Linked DNA regions of Oryctolagus cuniculus. The protein of the gene in region 3 purifies or fractionates together with the protein of the main gene of each other region. This does not show direct contact. Links are inferred from orthologs where the notes say so. Each region holds a gene or a part of one and is shown on either strand. Other genes may lie near its edges. The genes, in order: DUSP16, DUSP8 and MAPK9.

What was found.
Region 1: the proteins of MAPK9 (region 3) and DUSP16 purify together in Homo sapiens (affinity purification with mass spectrometry; 6 studies listed by BioGRID and IntAct, with this or other methods). This does not show direct contact. The link is inferred for Oryctolagus cuniculus from reciprocal best matches to the Homo sapiens genes MAPK9 and DUSP16.
Region 2: the proteins of MAPK9 (region 3) and DUSP8 purify together in Homo sapiens (affinity purification with mass spectrometry; 4 studies listed by BioGRID and IntAct, with this or other methods). This does not show direct contact. The link is inferred for Oryctolagus cuniculus from reciprocal best matches to the Homo sapiens genes MAPK9 and DUSP8.

The regions. Positions count from the first base shown.
Region 1 is NC_091440.1:110,206,935-110,217,103, forward strand, and holds the start of DUSP16 (dual specificity protein phosphatase 16), read right to left. Parts: upstream 6,231-10,169; 5' UTR 6,092-6,230; intron 5,897-6,091; exon of another isoform or gene 4,959-5,896; intron 1-4,958. UniProt on the Homo sapiens protein: Dual specificity protein phosphatase involved in the inactivation of MAP kinases. Dephosphorylates MAPK10 bound to ARRB2.
Region 2 is NC_091432.1:1,913,486-1,922,893, forward strand, and holds part of DUSP8 (dual specificity protein phosphatase 8), read left to right. Parts: 5' UTR 1-217; intron 218-282; exon of another isoform or gene 283-518; intron 519-1,104; exon of another isoform or gene 1,105-4,232; intron 4,233-4,557; 5' UTR 4,558-4,639; coding exon 4,640-4,870; intron 4,871-6,220; coding exon 6,221-6,359; intron 6,360-7,399; exon of another isoform or gene 7,400-8,481; coding exon of another isoform or gene 8,482-8,536; intron 8,537-8,647; coding exon 8,648-8,814; intron 8,815-9,338; coding exon 9,339-9,408. UniProt on the Homo sapiens protein: Has phosphatase activity with synthetic phosphatase substrates and negatively regulates mitogen-activated protein kinase activity, presumably by catalysing their dephosphorylation.
Region 3 is NC_091437.1:67,209,595-67,219,638, forward strand, and holds the start of MAPK9 (mitogen-activated protein kinase 9), read left to right. Parts: upstream 1-5,273; 5' UTR 5,274-5,467; intron 5,468-10,044. UniProt on the Homo sapiens protein: Serine/threonine-protein kinase involved in various processes such as cell proliferation, differentiation, migration, transformation and programmed cell death.

The DNA.
Region 1 (10,169 bases), on a different chromosome or scaffold from region 3:
AGAATGGATATATTTAAAGATTTATTTATTTGAAAGAGTTACACAAAGAGAAGGAGAGGCAGAGAGAGAGAGAGAGAGAGAGAGAGAGAGAGAGATCCTCCATCCTCTGGTTCACACCCCAATTGGCCACAAAGGTGGGAGCTGTGCCAATCCGAAGCCAGGAGCTTCCTCCAAGTCTCCCACACAGATGCAGGGGCCCAAGGACCTGGGGCCATCTTCTACTGCTTTCCCAGGCCATAGCAGAGAAGTGGATCAGAAATGGAGCAGCCGGGACTAGAACTGGCACCCATATGGGATGCCGGCACTACAGGTGGCGGCTTTACCCACTACGCCACATCGCCACCCAGATGGATATATTTAATACTAAGTACACCTTGCTGTACCATTATCACTTACTTTTTTTATAACTTAGTTTGTTCTACTACCAACACTCCACACACACAGACATTCAAAGAAATCTGAATTCTACTGTCCTTCCCAAATATGTATGAGTACAAGTGAGACTGGCTTTGATCACACGAACCACAGAGCCCCAGTATTTATATCAGTACAATAACATTCTAAATGAAATACTTAGAAGGAAATTAAGGGAACACTAAGTATCCTACCTCATCTTAAAACTGTTCTGTTTTCCACAGGCTATGTTAAGTGTTTCAGAATACATGAGTACTGTAGATAAAAGCTGGTTAGGGACACACAAAACAATTTTCATGGGAATTGATTCTGTAGACACACATACTATAGTATAAAACTTTTTTGGAATTATCTTAATTTCATCTCTAAAAATTATTTTTTAGTTTAAAACTGCAAAGAGAGTAGAGAAGGGGGAGGAAAGACAGTGCTTCAAGTTACAAATGTACCCCCAAAACATGAAAATGTCATAAAGTTTTTATGTGACACTACAAAGGATACCTTCTAATCAACAACAAAACAAATCTGCCATTCAGATAACCACAATAAGAATCCCAATGTCTTCACTTCAGAACATTTTTGCCTCAGGTTTCTACTACTGCTAGAAAAACAGGAAACAATAAGATAATATTTTCAGTGATATCATTAACTCCTTTACAAATCTCTAAGGAGATATAATTAAGCATATAGAGCACAAATTTATCACTCAACTCCTGTATCACACGGACAAGACCTAGTCAGGTATGTCATCCCTCATCCTGTTTTTTAACCTATCTGTAAGTAAGCCCAATAGCTTACTTATACTATCTGCGCATCTTAGGCTTTCTGAGCCTTCACACAAAACAAACTGTCCTGGGAATTTAGCTTCACTCTATAGCATTATTTTGATTACTATTTCCAATGGAGAATCTAACCTAAATATAAAACCCAACACAACCCTAACAGTAAACAGTGTTATTAACCTTATTGTAAAAAAAAATGACTTAGTAAATAGCAAAGAATTATAGACTTTTTAAAATTTTGTTTTTTATGAAATATAGGGAGTCAGAGGTAGATATGAGAGAGAGAGAGAAAGAGAGAGAAAGAGAAAGAGAGAGAGAGAGAGAAAGAAAGAGAGAGAGAAAGAGAAAGAGAAAGAGATCTCATCCACGAGTTCACTCCCCACACATCATGAGGCAAAAGCCAGGACTGAGCCAAGACACAGAAAATGAACCTACAACTCAATCAGGGTCTCCTTGTGGTTGGCAGGGATCCAAGTACGGAAGCCATCACCTGCTGCCTCCAAGCGTACATATCAGCAGAAAGCTGGAATCAGGAGCAGAGCTCGGATCCAGGCACTCCAACATGGGATGCAGGTGTCCCAAACTGTGTCTTAACTGGCCCGTAAGCCTGCCCCCCCCACACACACACACAAACTTTTCAACAACCTTTTTAATAAATACTGTTCATGATGGAATTGTAAGGAGTTCTCTATAGTTCCCTTGACTCTGACATTCAGATTTTTCAAGTATTGTTTACTTGTTACTGTCCTCCTGTCTTCTCCCACTAGATTATTAATGTCACACGGGCAAAAATCTTACCTCTATCTTATGTTCCACTGTGTGGCCAGTGTCTAGCACTTAGTACATGCCCAGCATAATCCATTCATGATTAAATGAATAGCTTCCTTCTTTGACCGCCTCCATTTCCCTGCTCCTCACACTCGTTAACTATCATTTAAGGCCAGGGTCAAATTCTACTATTTCCACAAAGATTACCTCCCTGCACCTTCCAATTTCTTTTTTCTTTATACTATCAATTTTGCACTTACCAGCTGTCTCGTAACTGTTCGTCTTGGCATATATATATACCTCTCTTAACATTCTTAACCTTGCTCATTAAGTACATGAAACTGTCCCCAACTCCTGGGATCCACCTCAGCACATGCAAATAGATTACCACTAAAAAACATTTTACTTAACTGCTTTATGTCTGCAGTTAATCCAGAAATTCATTTAATCAAGTTACTATTTTCAACTTTAAAACTGATTCCTCCCTTCCAAATAACTCAAAATAGGCAGTAAAATGGCAGTCTCCCTCTATTTTAAATTTATCTCTGACAATATCAAGTTTTATATTCTCACATAATTTATGCTCATAGTTTATTTTATCCCCCTTTGCCAAGATTAAATTTTTATATAATAAAACAATCTTATCATTTTTGGTGATACCTAATGAGGTTTCCAACTCCAAACAAAGGGTATTTTTCCATCTTTTTTTTTTTTTTGCCTTTCAAGTCAAAATGTATCCCATTTCCTTCTTCAATTATCATGCCTCTGGCAAGCTTTTATTTCTTTGTACCTGTCCTCAGTAATCTGTCTTCTATTCTTCTGAGGTACTGTGATTTCCCCATTTATTTGATTAAACTTAACATCCCTCCCCCAACCAGTCTGTAAAGCCTGAGCCTGTCTCTTTAAATTTGGCCAACCTTAGGAATCTCCCTTCACACAAGCCAATCTTTGGCTATCTGGGCTAATGAAATATATAAAAAGGTAACCCACAATACAAGAAAATCAGAAAAAGTTTGACATCTGGCTTTGGAATATATCATATGTAGCTTTGGGGAAAACTGTCTTCATTGTATTTTTTTTTTGCTTATGTCAACATTAGCAAGATGTTTTTTACAATGGCAGGTTATGTCCCTCAGTTTTAAAACCTGATGCAATTTAAAAAATAAGTATCAACTCTGCTTTTTAACTTGTTCCTTCAATCTGCTGAAAATCTGTTTTCTGTTTTCCCTGATTTATCCACTACTTTTCTTGACTTTCTGATCCAAATCAATTTATCCCATACAAACTTATTCTTGGATCAAAAGTAACTTTTGCTTTAGAATGCAAAGCATTTTAAAAACACTCAATGTCTACATAACACAATGTCTACATAACAAAATCATTTTTGTCAGATATTCCAAGAAACTTGGGGTTCTAGGATAAAGCACGGTGGTAATTCTAACAAATTACAGTTAAGATCTTATGATTAGTTGAAAATAGGAAAAACTTTAAACACAACTACGTAAGTGTGCATCAATAAATGAATCCCAAACACTAAAAATTCTATGGAATTTCCCAATATAAGCACTTAGAGAAAACAGCATCAAAACAAACTCACATCAGCCCTGTCATTTCTAATGATCCCAGCTTAAACTGCACTCTCCTCATACCTACTCTTGAATCCTGATCTCAGCCTCACTTCTATTCCTACCAAGCCACAAATAATTTTAGATGTTTAGGAAAAAGAACAAGAACTGAATTGACAGGCTCTCTTTTGCCCCTTTCTCAGTTATTACCATTAAGCTTTTGGACAAAGAGATCCCTAACTCCCAAAGTTCCATGATGATTTTTAATTTACAGGAATTCAAATGCATTCACCAAACTGAAGCAAAGAAAAAGGTCCTCTCAAACTGAAAAGAGAGCCAACAGGGTAACTCCTTGTCTGTTCCTTGCTTCCTCCATCATTACGCATAATCTCAAACACTTACATAAAAGTTAAGTACACTTTTAAGCCAGATCAGCTATTTTACTTGGAGGTTCTGACCTACCAGAGTTAAAACTAAAAATCTGTAAATATCAGTATCACACTTCACACATATCTTTTACATCTGAATGTAGATTTATAGTGTGCTTGAACCTACTGACCAGGGATCTTCAAAAAGTTCATGGAAAATGCTATTATGAAAAACAAGGTGTTTCAAAAAAAATTTGCACCAAAACACTTGTCATTTAATTCCTTTTTCCCCCACAAATGTGCTGAAGTACCCTTGTATTTCCATGTACTCACTAAGGATTGAACATACTCATTTCTAATTCTCTGTGGAACCTTGATAGGTATAAACATTTTACCTAAAAACCAACCCTTGGAAGTTGGTGTTATTTAACCCAGATTATTTACATAATATGCCAAATGTTAACAAAAAAATTTTTTTTAAATAGCAATCTTCCAGTCTTCATACTCAGCGAATCCCACAACTTTCTTTCAAAAAACAAAAACTGTCACAGTGCCTAGTCACATTTTGATCAGAACACCCACCCAAAGCTGATAAACTCTTAGTTTTTCAATTTACTTTACAAGCTGCTACCTTCACCAAACGCAGAACTCCATAAGCCTTAATTAATTACAGCTTCCCGAGCTGGGTCCACCCACCTATGCCATCCTCAAGGAAAAGTAAACAGTTTAAAAAATAGTTAATTTAATTGGTAAGAAGGCTTTTCTTCTCTTGAAAATTTCCCTTCACTGTGAAGCTCTCTTTTCTTGATGGAGTTGAAACAGTACAAATCCTTTAAGGAAACACTTGTCACCTACGTGTACCTTCAATCAGTGCCATACAGTGAATGGCAGAAAGCAGCATTTTTCTGACAGTCCCAGTTCCCCAAATAGTCACAAGGTCTTTCATGGATGGTAAATCAATCTCTCTCTCTCTCTCTCTCTCTCTCTCTCTCTCTCTCTCTCTCTCTCTCTCACACACACACACACACACACACACACGGAAGGCAAAGAAGACAGAAACATACCTGGTCATTCTCTGAACAGGTTGGATAGGTTCGGTACGAGCAGAGTATTTACCTATAATCTTTCAAAGCCAAGTGGCAGCCAGGCCCCTGGGTAACTAAGAACTTCACCGTGTTTTTAAAACCCCGCATCTTAACTCACTTCCCCTTAGTTCAAGGGGCCGGCACAGCAAACCTCACAGCAAACGAGGTTATGCAACAGGTTTTTCCTCTACCTGACTCCTCATGGGCTAATCAGGTGTGCTTTCTCCAAACAACCAGCGACACCGGGGACTTGAACCCGCCCAGGAGCCTCGCAGTGCACTGGAATAAGCCCCTTGAGGGGTTTTGCAGTGTCCATTCATTTTAAGATCGACTTGCAATCCGCCGCCCCCGGACCCCCAAGGCTCATTACCGCTTTTCTTGGGAAAATAAACCCAGCACCTGAAAACGTAGTTTTGCACATAGATTTTCCCCCACTGTACTGTTTTATTGCCTGGAACTACACTTGATACACGGATCCTCGGGGGCCTCCCTGGGCTATTTTAATTTCTCACGTTTTACAGCAGTGGTAAAGAAATCACCGGCACGCCGGGCCCCCTCAACACCACGACCCGAGCCCCAGGATGAAAACTGAGGTCTGGGGGTGGCGGGGAGGTGGGGGGGGGGTCGCTTGGCTTCATTTAAGAAAGCACGGTCACCACCCAGGTGGCCTCGCTGCCTGCACCACCAGCGCGTTTGGGATAATGGGAACAGTCAGGCCGGGGCCCCACTTGGCAGGCGTGTTGTTTAACAGTCGCGCCTGGAAGTGAGCAGCTTCGCCCGCGAAGGTGCCGCGAGTCCCGCCGCCGTCGCTGCTGCTCCGCGGGGTCGGCTCGAGCCGAGCCCGCCGCGCCGGGGACGCACGGAGCGCCCCCGCGCCTGCCCGCACGCCCCTCTTCCCGCTGGCGCTGGCCCCCCCCAGCAAGGCCTACACCCCCGCGTCAGACACTCGTGCGGCTCCGGGCCGCGGTCGCCCCCACCGGGACGCCCGGGCAGGCAGAGCCCGCGGCGCCCGGCACAGCGAGTCGGGGCGCGCCGCCGAGCGTCCATGCTGCCCTGCCGGCCGGTCCGAGCCCCGCACCCTCCCGTCCGCACGCCCCGCCGAGGCCACTTACTTCTGGGGCCGCCGGCCTCCCGACTCCCCTCTGAGAGAACCGAGCGTTGTCACCGCGTCTCCCCTCGGGCCCCCTCGCCTCCCGGGCTCGCGAGGCGCCGCCGCGGAGCGGGGAGGGCGGCTGCGGGGCCGCTCGCGACCCGTCCCGTCCGTCGCTCTGTCCGGCTCCTCGGCTCTCACCACAGAGGCTTCTCCTCCTCGGAGGGGCGGGTGGGGGCGGGAGACTCAGAAGCGAGGAGACGTTTGCAACTTTTCTTCACTCTTTCTCTTCCACCCCCCTCCCCAGTTAGCCTTCAGGAAAAAAAAAATGTCGAGAGGGGTGAAGAACTTGGGGAGGGAAAGCTGGGGGGTGGGGGGCCGCGCGGGGAGAACGGCGGGGGGAAGGGAAGGTGCTAATAATCCTTTAAAAATTGGCGAAAGCCCCCCAAACAGGGATACACAGAAAGAGGGGGAAAGGCGGGGGGGTGGGGTGGGGGGTTGGGGAAAGAGAAAGAGTCGCTGGTCAGGAAACTTCAAGCGCGGATGAGGTCATTGGTTTAAAAATAAAGAGATGGCGTCACTTGAAACCAATCCCAGTGAATGAACTCAGCGGAGCCCCGGGGAAAGGAGGAGACAGGCGAGGGCAGGGCGGTGGGCGCCGGGCGGGGCCGCGCGCTCGCCCGCCAGCCCATCCCGCGGCCGCCCGGGCCGGGAGCGCGGCTCCGCGCCTCGTTTCGGCAGCTCGGGGAGGGGTCGGGTCACGTTCCCGGCCAGACCTTGGGCCGCTCGGAGGCAGGTTCCGCGGGCGCTGCGGGGAGGAGCCGGCGCTGGCCGAGGAGGCGGCCCGCAGCCTCGTCCTCCTCCTCCGCCTCCCCCCGTCCCGCAGGCTCGCGGCCACCGACGTCCCGGCCGCGCGCGCCGCAGTCGGTATTTGAGGGTTCCCCTCACCCAGCCAGATTCAGCGCCTCTTGCTCCTCCTTGGGCTGCTTCCTGCTGCCCGGGCAATGTAAAGACACGCAAACAAGGACTGAAAGGAATTGCAATCTCTCTTTAAAAGCCTCCGGAATCCAAATGGCAGGAAAGAGAAATTGCAGGTACTTGAAGTAAAATCACTCAAGGGTTGTCAGGCATTCAGCTCGTCCTAGGCATACCGTCCACCCCCAACCCGCCTCCCCCCCCCCCACCGCGCCCCATGAATGTTCCTACGTTTATTTGGGTTGTATTTACTAATATAAGTACAAGCAGCCTAGCTGTCGCTTTCAACATTAGGCAAGGGCAGAATTAGCTTTAAATCACTGCCACTTGTGAGGTGCAAGACCCTCGGCGGTCGAACTCCACGCACCTGAAGCTTGTTAATGTTTTGTTTAAAGTCACTGAAATAGCTTTGTTGTGAGACTTTGCGCACTTCGGAAAGAGCCCTGAGATGGTGACAAAGTAGGACTAGGAGTCACTGAATAGGACAATCGGAGCTTTATTCCAGGGTTCTTTGAGCATCTGAGCGTGAAGCTGCCGCCACTGAGCAGTCCTCCCGTGGATATCACATAACAAAGATGTGATTAATGACGGAAAAGCACCGTGGGGGGGGGGGGGACAAGATCGATGGGTAGGAATCATCGCTCTTAAAGCATTGCATTGCCATGCAGCAGACCTGGGACGTTGGCCCTTAAAATCGCTGTTTGTGCTGGGTATTCCACGTGGACGCTGCCTCGGGGACGTTCTCATTAATCGGGGAAAGGACTAAGCAGGTTTTGGCGGGGGTTGGAAAGAAGCTACATCTCTGTTTACTACTTAAATTCCGCAACTGAAGTGCATTCCTTAGAATTGATCATGATATAAAGTTAGGGTCATGGAGTAAGCCTCTGGGATAATGAGGTAAGTCTGTCTTTTAGAGGGGGACAGTGGGTGGGGAGGGAGACAGCTTTTGGAGGTGGGAGAGAGCCCAGCCCTTCAGGCAATAGGCAAGGCCTGAAGGCCACAGAGGAAAACCAACCTCCAGCCTCTGACCCTTTGAAGACGCCTGTGGAGGGGAAGCGATCTCTCCGGCTGCTCCGGGTCCTCTGGTGGCCAGGAGGTGGTACTGCAGCATCTTTAGGGTTATCTGTACTCGGGACACAAACTAAAAACATAGGCCTATCGTTTTTAGAACTGTTTGGATGGAAAGGATCTACATCTCAAATCCACTTATTTGAAGATGTTGCATTTTTTCCCAATTTCTTTGAAAGAGAGAGAGATGTCCTATTCACTAGTTCACTCCTCAATTGCCCACAATAGCTGGGACTGGTTCAAGCCAAAACTGAGAACCTAGAACTCAAGCCAGGTCTCCCATATGGGTGGCAGGCACCCAACCACTTGAATCATTACTTGCTACCTCCCAGGGTGCATATTAGCAGGGAGCTGGAACTCAAACCTTGCACTCCAATATGGAACGTAGTGTCCCAGATAGCATTTAACCACTGTGCCAAACAACTGTTCCAAAATGTTGGGATTTTGAGAGACGTGGAAGGCATGGATCTTGCCTGAATGGAAGACTCAAATGAATCTATGGTAGAATATACCCTTTATGGGGCCAGCGCTGTGGCATAGCAGGTTAGGCCGTTGCCTACAATGCCAGCATTCCATATGGGCGCCAGTTCGAGCCCTGACTGGTCCACTTCTTATCCGGTTCCTGCAAGTGCAACTAGGAAAGCAGCAGAACCCTTTACAAACATTCCTTTAAGTGACAGTCTTCCTTCGCTGCCCCTTCTTCACAGATACAATTCAGCTGGAATGTTTTCCATGGGTGTGGTATTATGGAAGCCTCCCCTGTGTGTGTAGTCTAATTAGAGAAATGAGACATGGTTTAAAATTCATTAAAAGCCAACACTTCAGTGGCATACAATATGTGCTAAAAGAGTCACGAGGAACAATGTAGACTGGGACTATGAGGAAAGACATCTTACGAAGAGCTTGTAGTGCCCTCCTCATCCCCCCCACCTCCACCCCGCTTTGAAGGACAGTAAGATTTAGCTTGCGAGGCAAGCATCTGGCTCAGCGGTTGCGATGCCTCTTGGAACAACACATCCCATGATAGAGTGTCGGTTCTACACCCAGTTCCTTCATGCTAGTGCACATCCTGGGAGGCAGCAGGGGATGGCTCAAGCACTTGAGTCCCCGCCACCCATGTAGAAGACCTAGATTGTGTCCTGGGCTCCTTGCTTTGGCCCATCAGAGGGATGATCTTTGTCGCCTCTGTCTCTCTGCCTTTCAAATAAATAAAAATAGTTTAAAAATATTTAGTTTGTGGTGAAGGGGTCAGTGGATGGAACTATTCTCAAAGGGGAAAAGCATGAACAAAGACAGGATGAAAGAAACAAGGTGCGCTCAGGTGAGAGACAGGTAGACATCTGCAGTGGTAGTAGAGAGGAGGGCTTAGCGGTTAGAAGCAAAGTTAAATTTAAGACATTGAGAGACTCACTAGGAAGGTACTTGAATAAATAGCTTGTTACTAGTCAAGCTGGTTAAGGAGAAAACATTGAATGAGTTTACTGAAGAGTATATTTCTCCTTGTTCTACTTTTAAAAAAAAACCCTCTACACATGCTAACAACTGTGGAAACAGAAATTAAAATTCAATACCTGGGGGACATGTTTAACTTACCATTAAGATGTCCTGTTTGAAGGTCATAGTCGAGCTTAAACCAGCTTTCCACCACATTTAGAGTGATGACTGAGGGCTGGATTCCCCAAGGCAGGTGAACAGCTGATATACTTAGGGCACCAGCAAAGCAAAGGGTCCCAGACCTGAAAACAAGATAATCTAGAAACAAGTCACAAGGGGCTTCACAAAGTTTGAGAGGAAATAGAATGAAAAGATAATGAGAATTTTCCATAAACTTTTCAAATTACTCATTTGAGAGGCAGAGAGATACAGGTAGAGAAAACCATCAGCTGGTTCTCTCCTCCCAAATGCCCTCAACAGTCAGAGCTGGGCCTGGGGCCAAGCCAGGAGCCAACAAATCTGTTCCAGGTCTCCCATGTCAGTGGCAGGAACCCAATTACTTGAGCTATAACCACTGACTCCCAGGGTCTGTACTGGGGAGAAGTTAGAGTCAGGAGCCAGAA
Region 2 (9,408 bases), on a different chromosome or scaffold from region 3:
CGCCGCGAGCGCGCGTGCCCGCCCGCAGTGCGCGCGCCCCGGTTCGAGCGAGCGCTCCCCGCGGCGGCGGCGACGGCGACGGCGACGCGGCCCGCGCGCTCCCCTGGCCCCTGCCCCGGCTGCGCGGGCCCCCGCCGGGCCCATGGGCGGCGCGGCCGAGCGGGCGCCCTGAACGCGGCACGGGTCCCCGGTGCGCCCCGAGGAGGGCGGGAGCGAGGTGAGCGGGGCGCCGGCCAGGACGAAGGCGGGGGGCGGGGGGGGACGGCTGAGGGTGCGAGAGGCGGCGTCCGGGCGGGGCCGATCGACGCGGGGCGGGAGAGCCCGGGGACCCCGCGCCTGGAGGGCGCCGGGGAGCGGGCGGCGGGCGCAGAGCGGCTCGGGCCACAGCGCACAGCCCTACCCGGCCCGGATCGCGAGGCTGCCGCGGACCTGGAAGCCCTGCCCCCGCCGACCGCAGCGCGCCGCGGACCCCGACCCGGTGGTCGCTTGTCGCCTGCTGCCGGCGACTCCTCCAGACGGTGTGTGTGTGTGGTGGGGGAGGAGGGTGAATACAACGGAGACCCAGAGGGCCACTGGAGGTCCAGGGTGGACCTGTCGCGCGCACCAGGGCACCCTCGTTGGGGGCCGGAATTGGAGACAGTCGCCCGGATCCTGAGCGGGCCGGGGGAATGCGGGGTCCTGGCCTTGGGCTGGGGAGGACCCAGAAGAGGGCTCCTTCCACGTCCACAGGGCTGCAGATCCCGTCTCCCTCGGGCCGGGCCGCCCGCACCCCGGCGCGCGCTCTACTGGCCTCTGCGGAATAAAAGACCCGCGTCTGCGCGGTACTGGGGGAGGGGCTGGCACGTCCAGGCTGCCCACGGCCGCCTCCCGGGCCATCTCCTGCCTAGGGAGGGGAGGGCGCAGCCCAGGTAGGGTACCCCAAAGTCTGGCGTGCGGGGGTGGGGGCAACAGCAGGCCCCGCACGCACCCCCACCTTCCCACTGACTGCTGCAATGGTGTCGCGGCTGCGGCTGGGGGCGTTGGGGGCCGTGGTGCCGCAGTGGCGGGGCTGCGAGCCCTGTGGGGGTGGAGGAGGGGCGGCTTGGGTGGGGGTGGGGTGCCGCAGGGTCCGAGAGGGAGCCCCGTCTCTGGCCTCGGTGGGGACCCAGAGCACCCTCAGAGCTGGCTCCAGGGCAGCCGGGTATGACGACGCCAGGCCTTGCACAGGGAGGACAGAGTCCTAGGCACTCTCCCCAGCTGATAACAGTACACACACACACACACACACACACCCGGGCCCGATCATGTGATCAGGGCTAGGCGTTCTTTCTGAAGTCTGGCTGGAGCACCTCCCTCCTGCTGCTTGCTCCCTCGTCCCCAGGGAGCACTCTGGGACCAGGGCTCCCCAAACAGAGATGCCCCAAGGTGCTTGCCCTCAGTCTGTGGCCCAGGGTCTCTCGCAGCCCCATCCTCCGCCCAGGCTGCGGCTCGGCGGTGCAGGTGCCTCTGGGAGCCGTCAGCTCCTGCTGGGGGAGCTGTGGTCAGCAGAAACCCTCAGCTCTGTGGGACTGGAACGGGCCAGGTAGGAGGGGAGCAAACAGGTATGGTCAAGTTCCCAGCTTCCGCTTCCACCGGCCCTGTGCGGAGCCCTCCCACCCCAGGCCCGGCCTGTGCCCCGCTCCAGGGCTCCCAGGGACTTTCCGTGCCACTCCCCCCCACGGCCATCTCCCAAATCCATGGCCTCCCCAAGCCCAGGCTGGCACTGGTGGGCATTGCCACTGGCCCAGTCAAGGTTTAGAGAGACCGGGGTGGGGGGCATGCTCACCCCTGGGAACCGCAGGGGCAGGTGCACTGGGGCAGTCTGGAGAGAGGGGATGGGGCGGAGCCGGTGGCATCCCTGAGTGACAGCGTCGGCAGACACTTCGGCATCCAGGTCCCTCCACTGCTGGCTGCCTTCCGAGGCTCTGCCTAGGTACGAGCCACAGCTGGTGACCCGCTGAGCCTGCCAGACCCAGCCCTGTCTCCCCGTGGGCCTGCCGTCCTGGCAGTGGCCGTGTGAGGGTAGTGAGCTCCCTGTCACTAGGCTGAGCAGCGGGGAGCTGGGGATGGCCCCGGCACTCAGATCGTTGCTGGCCACTCACTGCCCAGGGACGTGAGTGTCGCCCATGGAGGGAGGCCTTGCGTGTGGGAACGGGGTGTGTGGGCTGCCCTGGAGCTCCCCCCCCAGCATAGATGTCCCCGGGTTCTCAGAAGGTTCTGAGGACGTGTGTGCAGCAGCACGTGTGTGCCTGGATTCCCCACACGCGTGTCTAATTGCACGGGAGACCCCGTGGGCTGTGGGCAAGAAGTGAGCACCAGCCCCGCGTGCAGAGTCAGTGCACAAAGGGGTGTGTTCTGCACTGGAGCCTCCGTGCTGTGTCCCTGGCCTCTGGGAGAGGGGCCGGGAAGGCCTCCTGCTGACTTTGGACTTGGGAGCCGCTTTGGTGAGGGTCTCAGGTCGGGCCTGGGTTCCCAGGAATGAGGCCCAACAGAGCTTGCGCCAGAGCTGGACTCCTGTCCTTGAAAGTGGAGACCCGGGCCGAACGGAAGCCCATCTGACCTGTTCTGCACCGGCTGACCTGCCCGGGCTGTGCCGAGGGTCTCCGCTCCCCCACCCCCACCTGCTGGGGCCCTCATCTGTAGCATCCGTGGGAGGCCAGGGGTGAAGGGTCTGCCCTCCCAGGCCCTGCAGGAGGAGCCTCAGCCCAGCCCCTCCATGCAGAGAGAAGGCTTCTGAGGGGGTAGATGCAAGTGGGCTGGGAAGCACCGGGTAGGGTAGGGCTGGGGGTCACCACGGGGTCCCCGGCCTGCCGGCAGAGGCAGCGGGTGAGGACGGAGGAGGATGACCTGCCCACTGCAGAGGATCCTGCTGGCGGCTGCAGCCGCAGGAGCAGCCGTTGCCTGGTGCCTCTGCTGTTGCCATGGCGACAACGGAGGTGCTAACTTGCTAATGAGTCCCCTCGGCTGCAAATAACAATACTAGGGTGGTTAATAGGGCCACGTTCCAGCGCGAGTGTTCCTGGGGAGGCAGGGCCAGCCAGGTACGAGGCCCCAGAGCCAGTCCTCCCGCCCCCCTGCAGCCCCTGCCCCCAGCCTGCCTTGTCGCTAGGGCTCAGGTGCCCCCCTCCGCTGGCCTCGATGCCCATCGGTAGATCTGCACCCACGTCGGGCAGTGTGGATGCCAGGCCCTGTGCTGGGGGTCCTGCTGGCTTCTGTTTGAGCTGAGGGACAACCTACCCACTTAGCAGATGAGCACATTGAGGCTTTGGCTCCCTGGTGTCCCCTCCCCACTATGGCTCTCTCAGGTGCTGGGCAGGGGTGGGGGTGTGGAGGGCAAGTGGCTGTGGCCTGTCACCACTTCCAGGAGTCACCTCACTGGGCAGGGACCCCCTCAGGGCAGAGATGCCCAGGGCAGGCAGGGACCCCTCAGTGGACCGGGAGCCCCTTGTAGGTGCAGCCTGGAGGGCAAGTGTCTGGGAACCGACCCCTAATCCTTGCCCACCGCTCAGAAGTGCCACGTTCCTCAGTAGATTTACCCTGTCTCACTGGCCCACGGGGCAGCAGGAGGCACCCCAGGCTACAGGGGAGGTGGCGGGGACTGGACACAGAGACCCCAGCAGGCGAGCAGAGGGGCCGGGGCTCACCGCGCGGAGGGGCTGGGAGCTGCCCCAGCAGTGGGCAGGGCATGCCGACCTGGGGTCAGCTGCATCATGGCTGCTATGGGTGACATGTGGACATTGTGTTTCTCCTACTGCTGCCTTGAGCCTCAGTTTCCCGTAGTTAATTCAAACTGTGTCTCCTTGGGGGCTGTGAGGCTCGGGTGGGCCTAGAGCAAGGCCAGTCCTGGCAAGTGGTGGGGAGCTTGGGCCCTGCAGGGGCGGGGGCGCAGGGGCTGCCAGGGGCCCCAGATACCAAGCTTCCTCCTACTTCCTCCATGCACCCCTTAGCCTGAGGGTGTCTGAAGCCATCTGAAAGCCCCGGCACCCCAAGCATCCCAGGTACACTGACCTTGGTCCTAAGGCTGCCCTCACTCTGTGAGGCAGGAGTGGCCCCCATCACAGTGCCCAGCCCTCCCACCCTCCTCCAGGAGCCCGTCAGTCCAGTCCCCACTGTGACCAGGATTATCGGCTTAGGTCAGCCGCTGTGCACACTAGGCTGGTGGTGGGGAGCAGGGGAGATGCCGAGGCGGGGAGAGGCAGGTTGGAGTGCGACAGGCAAGTTCTCTGCTTTGCCAGGGGCCCTGGGAAGCCTCGGAACCAGAGAAGGGAGAGGGCTGCATCCAGGTGTGGATGAGCCGTCCTGGAACTGTCAGTCAGTGAGCCCCAGGGCCCCGTGGAAGCTCCCCCTGGCCCGACCCGGCCTGAGACCACCCACCTGGCCCCGCCGTGTCCTGCTGAGAGGCCTGCAGGATAGCTGGGCAGGGCTCCCACGGACCCTCCCAATGCGATGAGGCCTCAGGTCACACTCGGGGAGGGGGGCCCCTGACACTGGTGCATCCCTGGAGCCCCGGGAGCTCTGACCGCCCTCTTCTCCCCTCAGGTCTGCTGCCATGCGCTAGGGCACTCGGGACGCGAGGCCACACCCTCCTCACTCCGGGGGTCAGCCTGCCCACTGCCCCACCATGGCCGGGGACCGGCTCCCGAGGAAGGTGATGGACGCCAGGAAGCTGGCCAGCCTGCTGCGGGGCGGGCCCGGGGGGCCCCTGGTCATCGACAGCCGCTCCTTCGTGGAATACAACAGTTGCCACGTGCTCAGCTCCGTGAACATCTGCTGCTCCAAGCTGGTGAAGCGGCGGCTGCAGCAGGGCAAGGTGACGATCGCCGAGCTCATCCAGCCGGCCGTGCGCAGCCAGGTACCCGGCCGTGGCCGCACCGGAGTCCACAGCTGAACGGGGGCCTGGGACCAGGCAGCGAAGCCGGGCTCCAGGATGTCACTGGGGAACCTTGCCCCCACTCCCCACGTGCTCCTCAGCACTGCAAGGTGTCTCCTCCAGGGAGGCCCTCCTGCCGCATCTCCCCAGCCCCCTCTTTCCTGAGCCTGCTGACCCCACCTGGGGGTCCCGGGCTCCCCGAGTTTGCCTCCAAACACCCAAGGCAGGTCGGTGCCCCCAAGGCCCAAACAGGGCTCAGAAAGGAGCCTGCTGAGTAGAGGGAGGTGGGACCACGCAGGGGTACAGCTGGACGCAGCTGCTCTGACCTGTGAGGACAGGGTGGGGGGCTGGCAAGGGGACTGCAGTCTTTAGGGAACATTGTCCCAGCTCGTTCCTCCCCAGGACCGCCCAGCTAAGGGGGCCAGGAGGCCGGGGCCGGGGACCCGTGCAGGTGCCCCCCCCCAGGCCTCCGGCGGGGCACGGGGCACATGTGGCAGCCCGGGACCTGGTCCCAGGTGGGACGGTGCATTTGGCTGTGCCCCCACTCCAAGCCACAGCAGGCTCCCTGCCGCTCCAGTGGGGGGAATCTGGTGATTAATCACCCCCAGCGAGGACTCCAGGCCGGAGTGTGAGCCTATTGGCTGCTGGTGACATCATCCAGCCCGGGTTGGCGGCTCAGCTGGCTTAAGGGCTGAGTGTGCTGGGGTGGGGAGGGGGGGTGGCCGCTGCTCTCTGAGCAAAAGCCGCTTAACATCTGGCCCCATGGCCCCTCCCTCAGAGTGGGGGAGGGGAGGAGGAACCCCAGCCTCCAGCTGCTGCCTCCGGAGTGGGGGTGGGAGACACTCCTGCTGCAGCCCTCAGGGTCTCCACGGGGCTGAGGAGGGAAGGAGAGGCCCAGCAGCTCCAGCGAGACCCCCACCCAAAAGACTTGCCCAACTCCTCTGCCTGTGCCCAGGCCCCGGCCATGTGCCCTGTCACTCTTGGTGCCCAGCAGGTGCACCCCCCCCCAGCCATCACCTGCATCTGCTTGACGCCAGCCTGGCCACAGGGGACACACGTGTCCCCCCTCCCCTGTGTGGCTGGAGAGGGCACGAGCCCTCTCTGTGCCTCCCCGACCCTGTGGCTATCTGTGTGGGCCTGGACATTTATACCTATCCAGGTGTGAGCACACCTGTGCCCCCAGCAGGCAGAGAGTGTGTGGGCGTGGGCAGGGCACCTGCCATCCCCTCAGGCAGCAGCCCTTTCTTTGGGCAGGGGTGGGTGGGTGGCAGCAGGGGGCTGGGCTGTCAGACAGGTGCAGGCAGCCCTGACCGCTGCCCTCACGGCCCCCAGGTAGAGGCCGCGGAGCCGCAGGACGTGGTGGTCTATGACCAGAGCACGCGGGACGCCAGCGTGCTGGCCGCCGACAGCTTCCTCTCCATCCTGCTCAGCAAGCTGGACGGCTGCTTTGACAGCGTGGCCATCCTCACAGGTGAGCTCCGGGGAGCCTCCCTCTCCGCAGCCCCCTTGCAGCGTGGCAGGGCCCGAGGGCGTCTGCGGAGGCCACGTCTGTAGGGGCCCAGGCAGGAGAGCAGGGGGATCCCTGAGAATGACTCGCTTGTGCAGGGGCGAGCGACCGGGAGAGACCCTCTCTGGGAACCCCCTGTGAGCTGGGACCGGTCCCACCCTGCTGCCCAGGGGCCAGTACAGGGCTCCAGGGTCTACACATGGCCTGGCCAGCCAGCCCCCCCACACGTCCATGGAATCCCCTCCTGGAGGTGGCCCAGGTCCCAGGGACACACCTCCTCCCCCGCATGGGTCTGGGGTCTTTGTTGACGCTCATGCCCTGGCCTCTGTGTACCAACCACAGGGCTGTGGCAGGCGGAGTGGGGCGTGTGGAAGGCTGCACACGGTGTCTCCACCTCCCATACACACACACCAATGGAGGCACTGGGCTCCTGACAGGTGCAGGCACAGCTGGGCCAGCCCTCTGCCTCCGGCGGCCAACAGGAGTGGGACCTTCCACCCTGCCTGTGAGGGAGGCTGCCCAGGGGCCTGAGCATCATCTGGGAGCCTTGGGCGGTGGGCAGGGGTAGGGTGACACAGGCTGCCCCTTCTCCGTGACTGTAGTGTGAGTCGAGGGCCTCACCCCTCTAGGCCAGGGTGTCTGCAGGGTGGTCGTCACCGCACGCGTGTACCCGCGTCTGTGTGCACTCACGTGCATTCCACCTCTGGTGTATGCACCTTGCACCCATCTCAGGGGTTTGCATGAACTCCTGGAGTACCTGGGGGCAGGAGCGCCTTCCCAGGCCCCAAGGAAGGCCACGGCCTAGGACCGGCCACTCATTCTGGCCTATGCCCCTCCCTTGTCACCTCAGCCCCTCCAGGACTGGCGCCCAGAGCTCCCTGGGTCTGGGGGACAGGGGTTCCGCTGGGATTCCCCATGCCTCTCACTTTGAGGGGGAGGGGAGGGCAGGTGGGGAGGACAGTCCGCAGCCCCTGTCCCTCCAGGGGGCTGACCTCCGGCAGGCATAGGAGGGGGTGGCAGTGTCCGGGGCCCCACGGCACCCTGCTCGGCGTCTGGGGGCCGGGGACCTGGGGCAGCCCTGCTGCCTACAGTCACGCTGTGCACCCGGCAGCCTCCCGAGGAAGGGACCGCTTCTCCCCATCTCCAGGGTCCCCCAAAGTCACGCCTTCCTTTGCGGCACACGGGCTCTCCGGCAGTGCTGGGCTAGGGATGACGGCCAAGCGCCTCAGCAAACCTCCAGGTCCCCGGCACAGCCTCCTCCGGGGGACCTGGGACCCTGCCTCTTCCCAAGGGGTAGCGAATGCCTCAACTTAGAAGCAGCAGCCCACCTGCTGGGGTAGGGGTGGGGCTGGTATCCCCAAAATGTGAACAGCCCCAGAAGTCACCAAGCAGGTCTCGGCTCACCCTGTCACGAGCTGACGGCTACTGCCTGGTTTCTGGTGTGAGTCAGTGGTCACCCCAGCCAGGACAGGTGTGTCCAGGGCCACTCATACAGGACAAGGAAGCCGAGGCCAGAGGCGTGCTGTTCGTGGGCACAGAGTCGGAGGCACCAGGACGGGCTGCGAAGCGCCCCTCCACCAGCCTGTAGCCCAAGACTCGGCGGCAGGGCGCGTGCCAGCTGTGTGCAGAACCGGTGCCCACTGCTGCCCTGGGCACTCCTGCTGCCCCAGGTGCCTCTGCGCCTCTGTCTTCTGCTGGAGCAGAGCCGCGGCCTGACCACAAATGCCCCTGCCGGCTGTGCCAATCCCACGGGGTGATGTCATGCCCCAGGGGGAGGAGGTCCCCCACAAGCACTTGCCTCGCAGTCCTGGCACCCAGGCCAGGGCCTGGGGCTGTCGGCCAGCTGCAGGCAGGGAAGGATTGCATCAGCTCAGGGTAGGCCCGGCCTGGCCACAGGCCTGAGTGCCAGAGCTCGGAGAGGCTCCCGCCCCCACCCGAGACCCCCACGGCCTCCGGGTCCAGCACGTGCCGTGCTGGCCACCTCCAGCCCACATTTTTATGGGCATCACAGCAGCGTCGTCCGCGGGGCCAGCCCCTAATTAGCGTGGGGAGGAATGTGGGTGTCGTCTCCCGGTGCAGACTGTAAATGCTACAGCAGGTGCCGCCCGCCCGGAGAGAGCTGTCCTCCGGCCCGAGACCAGGTGCTCAGGCCGGGCGCGGGCCGGGGGTCCCCCTGGGCATGGCTGAGCCCTGCGTGGATGGGGACCTTGTGCTGTGTGGCCTCACGCGTCTCCCTCTCCCTCCTCCCGCAGGGGGCTTTGCCACCTTCTCCTCCTGCTTCCCCGGCCTCTGTGAGGGCAAGCCTGCTGCCCTGCTGCCCATGAGCCTCTCGCAGCCCTGCCTGCCCGTGCCCAGCGTGGGCCTCACCCGCATCCTGCCTCACCTCTACCTGGGCTCTCAGAAGGATGTCCTCAACAAGGTGTGTGCACAGGGCAGGGGGAGGGGGGCCGTGGGAGCCCGGGCAGCCTCACCCAGAGGGGTGGTCTGGGGAGGGGCTGGGGCCAGCCAGGCTCCGATAGATAAGCTCAGGTTGGGGGCAGAGGCGGCCCAAGGCTCCCCTCCCCACCCCACCCCGCACAGGAACACACAGGGCTGGAGGAGGGGCCTAGCAGGGCGGGCATGCCAAAGTGCTGATGTCACCGGGCCCCTGGCCAGCTCTGAAAGACTCCCGTGTTTTAAAAAGCAGTGACAACCGATGGACGGGATGGGACAGGAAGTGGGGGGGGCGGGAGCCAAAGCCACCACCCAGGCAGCCATGAAATGCCTGGGCAGGGATCAGAGAGGTGGGGTGGGGACTCCCCACGCCCTCAGACCAGGAGGCTCTCCGCGCACGTTCTGAGCCCCAGGAGCCCCCAAGATTCTACAGCCCTTCCCTGCCGCAGGAGAAGGCCACCCCAGGGCGTCCCCCTCCCCACCCCCTGCTGACCCGTCCTGCCCTGCCAGGACCTGATGACCCAAAACGGCATAAGCTACGTGCTGAACGCCAGCAACTCCTGCCCCAAGCCCGACTTCA
Region 3 (10,044 bases):
CAACTTCTTTTCTTTATAAAGTTACCTAGTCTCCAGTAGTTTGCTATAGCAATATGAAACAGACTACCGCAGTTTGTAACCACTGGTCTTGGCCTTATGCCTAGGACCTGTGTGCTTCTGGGGTGAAAACGAAAGGTGTTTTACAGGATATAGCAAAACACAGGAGACCTGGAACTCTGAGCCGAGGTTCCACTGACCCTTGGATAGGCTGGGCCTTAAACACAGTGCTGCTTGGGATGGTGGCCAGGACACTGGAGACAGAGACCAGGGGTGAAGTTCTCCAATCTGCACTTGTTTCCCCAGTGAGCCTCTCACTAGGCTGATATTAGTGCAATCAGGCAGGAAGACAGAAAGCCAGAGACAGCTCTGGAGGCCTGAACAGTTGCATGTAGGCTCCCTGGGTGAGTGCCCTCACACTCAGTGTGGACGACACCTACGTGGAGGGCTCAGAGCCCAGCCAGCCTTTGCTGTGGGTTCTGCTGGCTCCTCAGCAACTCTTCCAGCCTCGGCTATGCTCGCCGTTGGTGCTGGAGACATGGGAACTGCAATTCTAGGTTCAATTCCACCAGTGAGAGGCACTCATGGGACATCTGGAAAGAGTGAAGGAACAGAAATCACAGATAGTCCCGAACTGACTTAGGATGTTTAAAATTTATACCGGTGCAAACAGTATACACATTCAGCAGAAACTGTATAATACTTAAAGAGTTGTTTCATCCTTAAGTATGGTACTCAATAAATTACATGATAGTCAACACCTTGTGTTGGATGATTTTGCACAACTATAGGCTAATGTGTTCTGAGCATGTTTAAGGCAAGCTAGGCTAGGCTAGGCTATGATGTTAGGTGGATTAAATATTTTCTTGTTTAAAAAAATATTTATGGGGCTGGCACTGTGGCACAGTGGGTTAATGCCCTGGCCTGAAGCACTGGCATTCCATATGGGCACCGGTTTGAGACCTGGCTGTTCCACTTCCAACCCAGCTCTCTGCTATGGCCTGGGAAAGCAGTAGAAGATGGCCCAAGTCCTTGGGCCCCTGCACCCACATGGGAGACCTGGAAGAAGCTCCTGGCTTCAAATCGGCATAGCTCCAGCTGTTGTGGCCAACTGGGGAGTGAACCATCGGATAGACAACCTCTCTCTCTGCCTCTCCTTCTCTCTGTGTAACTCTTTCAAATAAATAAATCTTTTTTAAAAAAGTATTTATTTATTAAAAAGAGAAGAAGCGAGAGTCTATCCACTGGTTCACTCCTCAAATGCCCTCAAAAGCCAAGGCTGGACTAGGGCTGAAGGCAGGAACAAGTCCTTGAGCTATCATTTGATGTCTCCCAGGCACATTAGCAGAGAGCTGGACCAGCAGAGGCAGCTCTAAATCCAAGGCACTTTAATATGGGATGATGCAAGAGTCCTAAGTGGTGGTGGTTTAACCCACTGCACCACAACTCCTGCCCCTGGATTAAATGCAGGGTTTTTTTTGTTTTTGTTTTTTAAAGATTTAAGAGTTACAGAGAGGCAGAGAGAGAGAGAGAGAGAGAGAAAGAGAGAGAGAGAGATCCTCCATCCACTGGTTCACTCCCCAGATGGCTGCATCAGCCAGAGCTGGGCTGATCTGAAGGCAGGAACCTGGAGCTTCTTCTGGGTCTCCCACATGGGTGCAGGGGCCCAAGCACTTGGGCCATCTTCTACTGCTTTCCCAGGCCATAGCAGAGAGTGCGACTGAAGTAGAACGGCCAGGACTAGAACTGGCACCCATATGGGATGCCAGCACAGTAGACGGCAGCTTTATCCACTACACCACAGCACCAACCCCTAAATGCACTTTCTACTTAGGATAGTTTCAACTTAGGGTGGATTTACCCAGACTTATCCCATTGCAAACTGAGGAGCATGTATATTTGTTCCTCTTCTGACAGAGGCAAATAGAAATGCTGCTTCAGGGGCCAGTGTTACAGCACAGCAGGTTAAGCCACTGCGTATGATGTCGGCATCCCATATGAGCACTGGTTTGAGTCCTGGCTGCTCTACTTACTATCCAGCTCCCTGCCAAAGCACCTGAGAAAGCAGGTGGGCCATGTCCTTGGATCCCTGCCACCCATGTGGGAGACCTAGATGAAATTCCAGGCTCCTGGCTTTGACCTGGCCCAGCCCTGGCTGTTGCAGCCATTTGGGGAATGAACCACGGGAATCAGGGGATGGAAGGGATCTCTGGCTCTCCATCTCTCTCAGTACCTCTGCCTTTCAAATAAAAAAATCTTAAAAACAAAAGAACAAATGTAGGTCCAACTGACAGGAGGTTCTACTATGGCCCTTTGGTACTCCCAGCAGCAATGGATGGAGATGAACAGATTTCCTGTGGCTCCTCCAAATCCAGCTCAGGAGAACCAGTGGGAACCGGAAGCCACGGCAGCACTCCCAGACCTCCATCCTTAGCGCACCTAACAAATTAATGAGGGACTCCTGCCAGAATCCCTCTTCCTAAGCAAAGCACAGCTGATACAACGACTGAGATGTTTGATCTGGGTGAGATCTAGAAAATGTGTCATCCTCACGTCCAGGAGGCAGTGGCCATCCTGACTTTTGTGCTCATAGTTCTCTTGCTTTTCCTCAGTGTTCCACCTCTGTCACCCAGGCATCGATTCAACCAACCACGGATCAAAAATATTGGAGGGGGGGCAGTGTTATGGCATAGCTGGCTAAGCCACCACCTGTGTTGCCAGCATCCCATGTGGGCACCTGTTCAAGTCCTTGCTGCTTCACTTCCAATCTGGCTTCCTGCTGATGTGTCTGGGAAAGCAGTAGAAGATGGCCCAAGTCCTTGGGCCCCTGCACCCACGTGGGAGACCTGGAGGAAGCTCCAGGCTCCCGGTTTCAGCCTAGCCCAGTGCTGCCCTCTGCTGACTCACTGGTGGGTGTTTGTCCTCTGTTTTCAGAACTAGGCCATCCCATTGTCCCTTGGTAGAGGAGCCCGCAAATGTCAAAACCTACAAATGCTCAAGTCGCTTCTGTAAAACAGGATGCTATCTGCAGAGAACCCAGGCACACCCTCCTGTGTACTTTCAATCATTTCTAGATTTGTTGTAATACCTAATGCAACATGTACATATCACATATTTGAGTGGGTTGAGCACAGGTGTACTCCTTGTCTGGCAAATTCAAGTTTTGCCTTTTGTAATTTTTGGAATTAAAAAGAATATTTTTTAAAGATTTATTTTATTTGAAAGTCCCAGTTACAGAGACAGAGAGAGAAAGAGACCTTCCATTCACTGGTTCACTCCCCAAATGGCCACAATGGTCATGACTGGGCTAGGCTGAAACCAGGAGCCTCGCATGGGAGACCTGGAGGAAGCTCCTGGCTCCTGGCTTCAGATCAGCTCCCCTCCGGTCACTGCAGCCATTTGAGAAGCGAACCAGTGGATGGAAGACTTCTCTCTCTGCCTCTCCTTCTCTGTGTAATTCTTTCAAATAAATAAATCTTTTTTAAAAAATGAAATACATCAACAAGTGCTCTGGGTTAAACCAGAGCTGTCGGAGAGCTGAGTCCTTGTGCCACAAATCAGCAGTGCCAGTTCACCCTCAGGCCCACAACTCTCCAGTCCGCTTGCCCCATCGCCAGCAAGACCAGGTGACAGGTTCCTGAACATAGCACATGGCTCCTCATTGCTCAGCCTCGGGGCCCAAGTGCCCTCTCTGCCTGCCCAGCCTCTGCAGGGGCTTCCTCCTGTCTGGAAGTTCTGCTGCTGCCCCTGCTTCTCCCTGGCTGGCAGGTACGACTGGTGTCAGTCACACACATGAGTCCTGCCTGGCTCATATCACGCTTGCAGGCCTCAATCAGGATTCTCTGTGCCAGACCAGCTGCCCTGTCCCACGTCCCCCCAGCTCTGTGTCCACAAATGTCTACTGTGTTGGACAAACCAGGAATAACCAGAATTCTTACAGAAACCTCAGTGACATATGCCTAATTGCATAAGCACAGACAGCAAACTTAGGTTACTTACCGTGCACCGGGTGACTGCTAAAAACCAGGCCCAAGTGCCTCTGGAAATCCACTGTCTCTTCCCAGCCTGGGGGGATGTGTCTATGCACATTTGCTCCTTGTTGGGACCTCATCTCTGATAGCCCGGCTTTTACTAGTTTCTCATCTTTTTCAGTAACGGCAATTTTAGGTTCCCTGTTTTCTCCTGAGCAGCTAGCTGAGGCAGGTGGCAGGAGCCCACCAGATGGGTCCATTTCAATGCAGACCACGTTCAGGAGCCGGGATTAGTGATACTCAATTTTAGAAAACTCCCCCTGGCGGCCATGGGAGGACACCACGGCTAGATCCCGTTCTCTGCCCCACCCCTCCTCTGAGGCCGTGGTGCCTGCACGAGCCCGGCCCTTCAGAACCTGGGTCACAGGCTCGCTTCTCTCCCCAGATTCTGCAACACTCCACCCCAGACCTGCAGGGTCCTGCTACTCCCCCTGCTCTGTGGACCTCGGCGTCCCGGGACTGCTGCCCCAGCTCCTTACTCACCACTTATCAATCACGGTCCCCAACTCTATCGGTGCCCGAAATCCGACGCCCCTAGCCCACGACTGGCCTCGGAGCTTTTCCCTCGGGGAGCCCCGCCTCCGCCCCTCATCCCAGCTGTACTTGTCCGGTCCCTAGGGGGCCCTTCTGCTCCCCCTGAGCCCTGTCAGCCAGCACACTCCCTCCTGCTCCTGTCGGCCGGGAAGACTGGTGCACGACGGTCATCTCCTCGCACCCTGCGCCTGAACCCTGACCTTTGGCCGCACCCCTAAACCCGTCCAGTGGGGCGTGCGTGCGGCACGTCCGCAGCGAGCTGAGTCCCAGGCGCCGCGCCTCCCTCCTCCTGTCTCCTTCCAGGTCGCCTCGCTGCTGGGCGCCTGCACCTGCAGCCCCGGGGCTCGGACCCACGAGTAGCCCCGGTCCTGAGGCGCCGCGCCTCGCCTGCGGCCCATCCTCTCTCGCCTCCTCCCGGCTCGGCGTTCGGCCGCAGCTCTGCGGACCCTCTTTGCCCGGAGAGAGGGGTCATCGGGCGACCTCAGCCACGCCCGTCTCTCCAGCCCACTACACGCCGCTACACGCCGGCACTGCCCCACGCCGCCTCCGGACCCTGCACCAGACCTCGGACGCAGACCCGGCCTGGCCTGGCCCCGCCCGAGTCGCCCGACAGCGGCCCGCCCCCTAGCGCGATTGGCCGCACCCGCCGGGCTCTCCGCGCACTGATTGGTGGAGTCACGGATCGGTCAGGCCGGGCGCCGCGGCGGCGGCGGCGGCGGCGGCTGAGGGGAAGGGAGCCGACCGGAAGGGTCGAAGCGCCCCGCGCCCCTCACACCCACTGCGGCGGCGGCGGCGGGGCGGAGCGGGGCGGGGCGGGGCGGCCAGCCTAGCCGGGAGCGGCCAGCGCGCAGCGCCGCCAGTGCGCCCGCCCGCCCTCTACCCCGGCGCGGCTGCAGGGAGGCGAGGTGAGCCCGAAGGGCTGGCTAGGCCCGGCGTGGGTGCTGGGGTCGGGCGCGGCGGGGAGCGGGGTGGGCGCGGGGCCTCTGGGGCCGGGCCTCCGGGGCTGGCGGGAGCCGCGGGGTTGCTGGCGGGCCGCAGCCCCTGCCCGCCCGTGCCGCAGTCGCCCCCTCCCGCCCGCTGCCAGCGGCGAGGACCGCGGAACCTGGCCCCGCAGACCTGCCCGCGGGGGTCTGTGGCCCCCTCCTCCAGGCGGGCCGCGCAGCTGCCCTCTCGCCCCGGATGCTCGGTGGTCCCCGCGACCTTGGATTAGGCGCTGGCTGCCCCTTCGGGAAAGTGGGGCCATGTCTGATCTTCAAGACTGGGCTGTCTGTGGGAGCACCTGGACGCAAGTCTGTGCACACTGGTGGACTATAGGGCCGGATACTGCCCCTTGCTGGCGTGAGTGTGGTGGGGGCCCCCTCCCCACCCATCCTGTGCCTTGTCATTGCGCGCCCAGTGCTCAGCTACGCGGAGCAGGCCCTGCCCACCACAGCTCTTCCCCAGAGCACTGCTCCCTGGGCCCGCTAATCCTCCCACCTGCCAGGAACTTGCTAACCTCCGTGTCCCCGGGACTTTGCACCTGCTGCCTCTCCTGTTTACGTCGCGTCCAGGACCTTTTTGTTCCTTGCTCTGTCCAGATGTCTCATTTTCAGCGAGGCCTTCCTCGGCTACCCTCTGCAAGGGATCATTCTGTCTTGTTATTTTGTTTCATTTTCTTCCTAGCACTCTGAGTTGAAACTGTTCTATTTATTTGCCTCTCCTTTTCTGTCTTCCCCCACTAGGCTGTAGCTTTCTGTAAACAGGTAGTTGTCTGATTTGTCTGCTTTCTCCTGGTACTTATAGAAAGCATACAGTAAGTATTTGATAGTCTCAGTTCAGCGAATGAATGAATGATGTAAGGAGCGTGCCTACCTGTTGTCTCTGCTTTACCTGTTCATTTAGTGACTTCTGAGTGACTTGTGAAACTCGGAAGCTTGTTCTCATTTTGTAGAACATCTTAACGTCCTTGACCTCTTTATTTGGTAACTATGGTAACGAGCTATGATATAAAATGTTACATCTTTATAATGGTTTAGCTCTAACGACCTCCTAGTAAATCCAGGAGACAGCCACTGAATTCTCCATTATCTAGGTCATGCTTTTTGCTGGGCCCTAGGGACACAAAGGAGAGAGCGACAGGGTCCCTTCCCCCAGAGAGCCTGGGAGCCCCGTGGAAAAGGCATGACGCACAGGGTTGGTTCCAGGACAGTGGATGATGCCTGCGGAAGGGTGGAGCAACAGGTGGTGCTGGTGGGCCTCCACGCTTGCCAGGCCAGGAGAGGTGCAAAGAGTGTGAAAGGGCAGGGCCAAGGAAGGAACCTAACGCTGTGTGGCGTTGGCCAGGTGTGGGAGCGTGTAGTGGTGGGGACCCTGGAGGAGGAGCCCCTCGCCCAGCAATTTTCTAAAAGAAGCTTCAATCCACAGTTGCACCTGCACTCTCCTGATTTCTCAATATTGGCAGTAGCTGTTTGTTGTTGTTGTTGTTGTTGTGAGCCTAGCCAAATACAGACCTCATTCAGCCTGGTTGCGGGATTGTGGTCCTCCAGGACGGACTGTGGGTGGGAGCCCGGCCTGCTCAGGTGCTTACTGAATTGTCCCTGGGGCCCTGGAAGGAGCAGCGAAGACACCTGTTTTCACAGAGGAAGAAAAGCCCAGAGTCCCTGCTCTGCAGCACAATCCCTCACAAGACGATGCTTCCCTGGGGCCCCCAGCCCTGCCTGTGCTCCTCTGGCTTCTAATTCGTTCTGAAACAACAACACTCAATCTGTGTAATGCTTTCCTCCATTTAACCTTTTATTCTCTTCAGAAGTAACCAGTGGGGTTAAAAAAAATCCTATTTTGGCATAGACTTCTGTGGAAAGCTTTCATTTGCCTGAGGATTTAACTTTCAGGATCCTGGGACTTTAAAATAATTTAGTGAAAGGGCATAACTTTGAAATAAGTGTTAAAGAGTAGAATTGAATGTTTCTATTTAAAATAAAATCAGGTTTCTGGCTAAAATATCAGGCAAAGTGATTGTTAGTAACCAGTTATTCCCTGATGTCTCAGGTAACCTAGAAGTCAGGGATTTTTCTTAAGAAGTGCTGATTTGGCTGCAAGGCAACTATTTTTGGTCTAAATATGTACCTGGACTTCACACTTGGCAAGAAAGTTTCCATTTTTATATTTTTATCGTTAATTCTTTTTTTTAAAGATTTATTTTTATTTATTTGAAAGAGTTACAGAGAGAGGTAGAGACAGAGAGAGAGGACTTGGGCCATCTGCCACTGCTTTCCCAGGCCACAGCAGAGAGCTGGATGGGAATTGGAACAGCCGGGTCTCGAACCGACACCCATATGGGATGCTGGCACTGCAGGCCAGGGTGTTAACCTGCTGCACCACAGCGCTGGCTCCCACCTAATAATTAATTCTTAATCATTTGTACTTGATTGTATGAACAAGGTTTCAGCATTAGTCTTTTAACTGTTTATGATAGTGACTCTGAAAAGACACAAAAAGAACGGTATCCAGCTTCAACAGTTAGAAACCCTGGCTGATTTTGCCTCATTGGTAGCCTCTTATCTGTACACAGTTACCTCCCGTATTTTTAAACAAATCCTAAGTGTTATTTCACCCATGAGTTTTTCATTATATACTTGTATATCACTAAGAGGTAGGGACCCGAGGCTGGTGTGGAGGGTAAAGCTGCTGCCTGTGACGCCGGCATCCCGTATGGGCACTGATTCGAGTTCCTGGCTGCTCCACTTCTGATCCAGCTCCCTGCTCATGGTCTGGGAAAAGCAGCAGAAGATGGCCCAAGTGCATGGGCCTCTGCCACCCATGTGGGAGATGTGGATGAAACTCCTGGCTTCCACCTCGCCTAGCCTGGGCAGTTGTGGCTATTTGGGGATGAACCAGCAAGTCAGACTCAGGGTGCACTCCTGTGCCCTGGCCTCCTGAGATAAGCTGGGCTCTTCCCTCTGGAGGTGGCAAGAATCGTGTCTATCCCCATTTCTCAAATGGCTGCAGGCATGTGCTCTGGCTCACTCAGATCAGTAGCAGACCCACAGGGGATCTGACTCTTGCATCCTGATTTTAACCATTGCCCCATACATTTTTTTTTCCCCACATAGTTTTATCTTTGAATAAACATTTACTGGGCATGCCCTTTAATAGCAGGATATTGAGAAATAGGTCAGACGATTTTCTCTCATAAGGAGCTCACAGGATGGAAGCAAGAGTTTCACTGGTGGTACAATAGAAAACAAGTTCAGGACAAGGCAGGGAAGAGGGCACATCCTGCATACCGTGAAGGGAAAGGCTGTGGAGGGAAACGCAAGAGCGGCAGGTGCTCAAAAGAGAATGCAGGTTACCCAGGAGCAGGGGAGGGGAGGGGAGTCATTTCAGGCAGATGGAGCAGCTGAGGTAGAGTCCTGAAGGTGTCCAGTAGCTGGGCGGGGCTGCTGACCCCAGGTGGCTGACATTGCCCAAGAGCAGATCAGAGGGCCTGCCGTCTCCCGTGCTGTGCTGATCAGGATTCCAGTCTTCCTGAAGGAATCCAGGGAATGGTATGATTGCTGCATATTTTCAGCAAATCTCTCTCTCTTTAAAATTCTCTATCTTGCAAAAAGTATAGATTCATGAGAAGTTGCAGAGACAATACAGAGGGGTCCCAGGTGCCGCTCACCCAGTCTTCCCCCTGATTGCATATTTACTTAGCTCAGTAGATATCAAACAGCAGGAAGTTGGCTCTGGTGTAACGTGTGTACAGCTTATTGCCATCACATGCGGCTATTCATGTGACAGCCACCACCACCACAATCAAGACATGGAACTGTTTTGCCCCACCCCTTTATAGCCGCACCGTCCCTAGGCCCCCACCATCCACAACTCCTAGCAACCGCCTTATCTCTCCTGTATCTCTGTAATTTTGTCATTTCAAGAATATGGTATACATGGAACTATATATATAGTATATGTGTATATATATATATATATATATATGACTTGGGATTGCCTTCTTACCCTTGAGTACTGCCGTGCCTCAGTACCCTCAGGGGACTAGGTTCTAGACACCCCTCCACTCCCGCCACCCAGATACCCAAAATCCATGGGTGCTCAAGTCCCTTATAGAAAATGACATAGCATTTGCTAGCATGCACCTATCATCCCGTGTAAGTCATCTGCAGATGATGTGGAATACCCAGTGCGATGTGTTATGTAAATAGTTGTACTGTATTGTTTAGAGAATGGCAACGAGAGAAAAGTCTGTCCGTGTTCAGTACAGTTTCTGAAGACATTTTGATGTGCTGTTGATTGACTCCATAGGTTCAGGACTGTGGGATGTCCTTGAGATCCCCCTTAGTGTAGTGTGTGTCTTCTTAAGGATGGGAAGTATCCCATGATGTGGCTGTACATTCACCCATTGAAGGACCTGGTATAGACAAAGCTGCTGTGATAGTCGTGTACAGGTTAGCGTGTGGACAGGCCTCCCTCCATTCCTCCCATTTCGAACGCCGTGCTG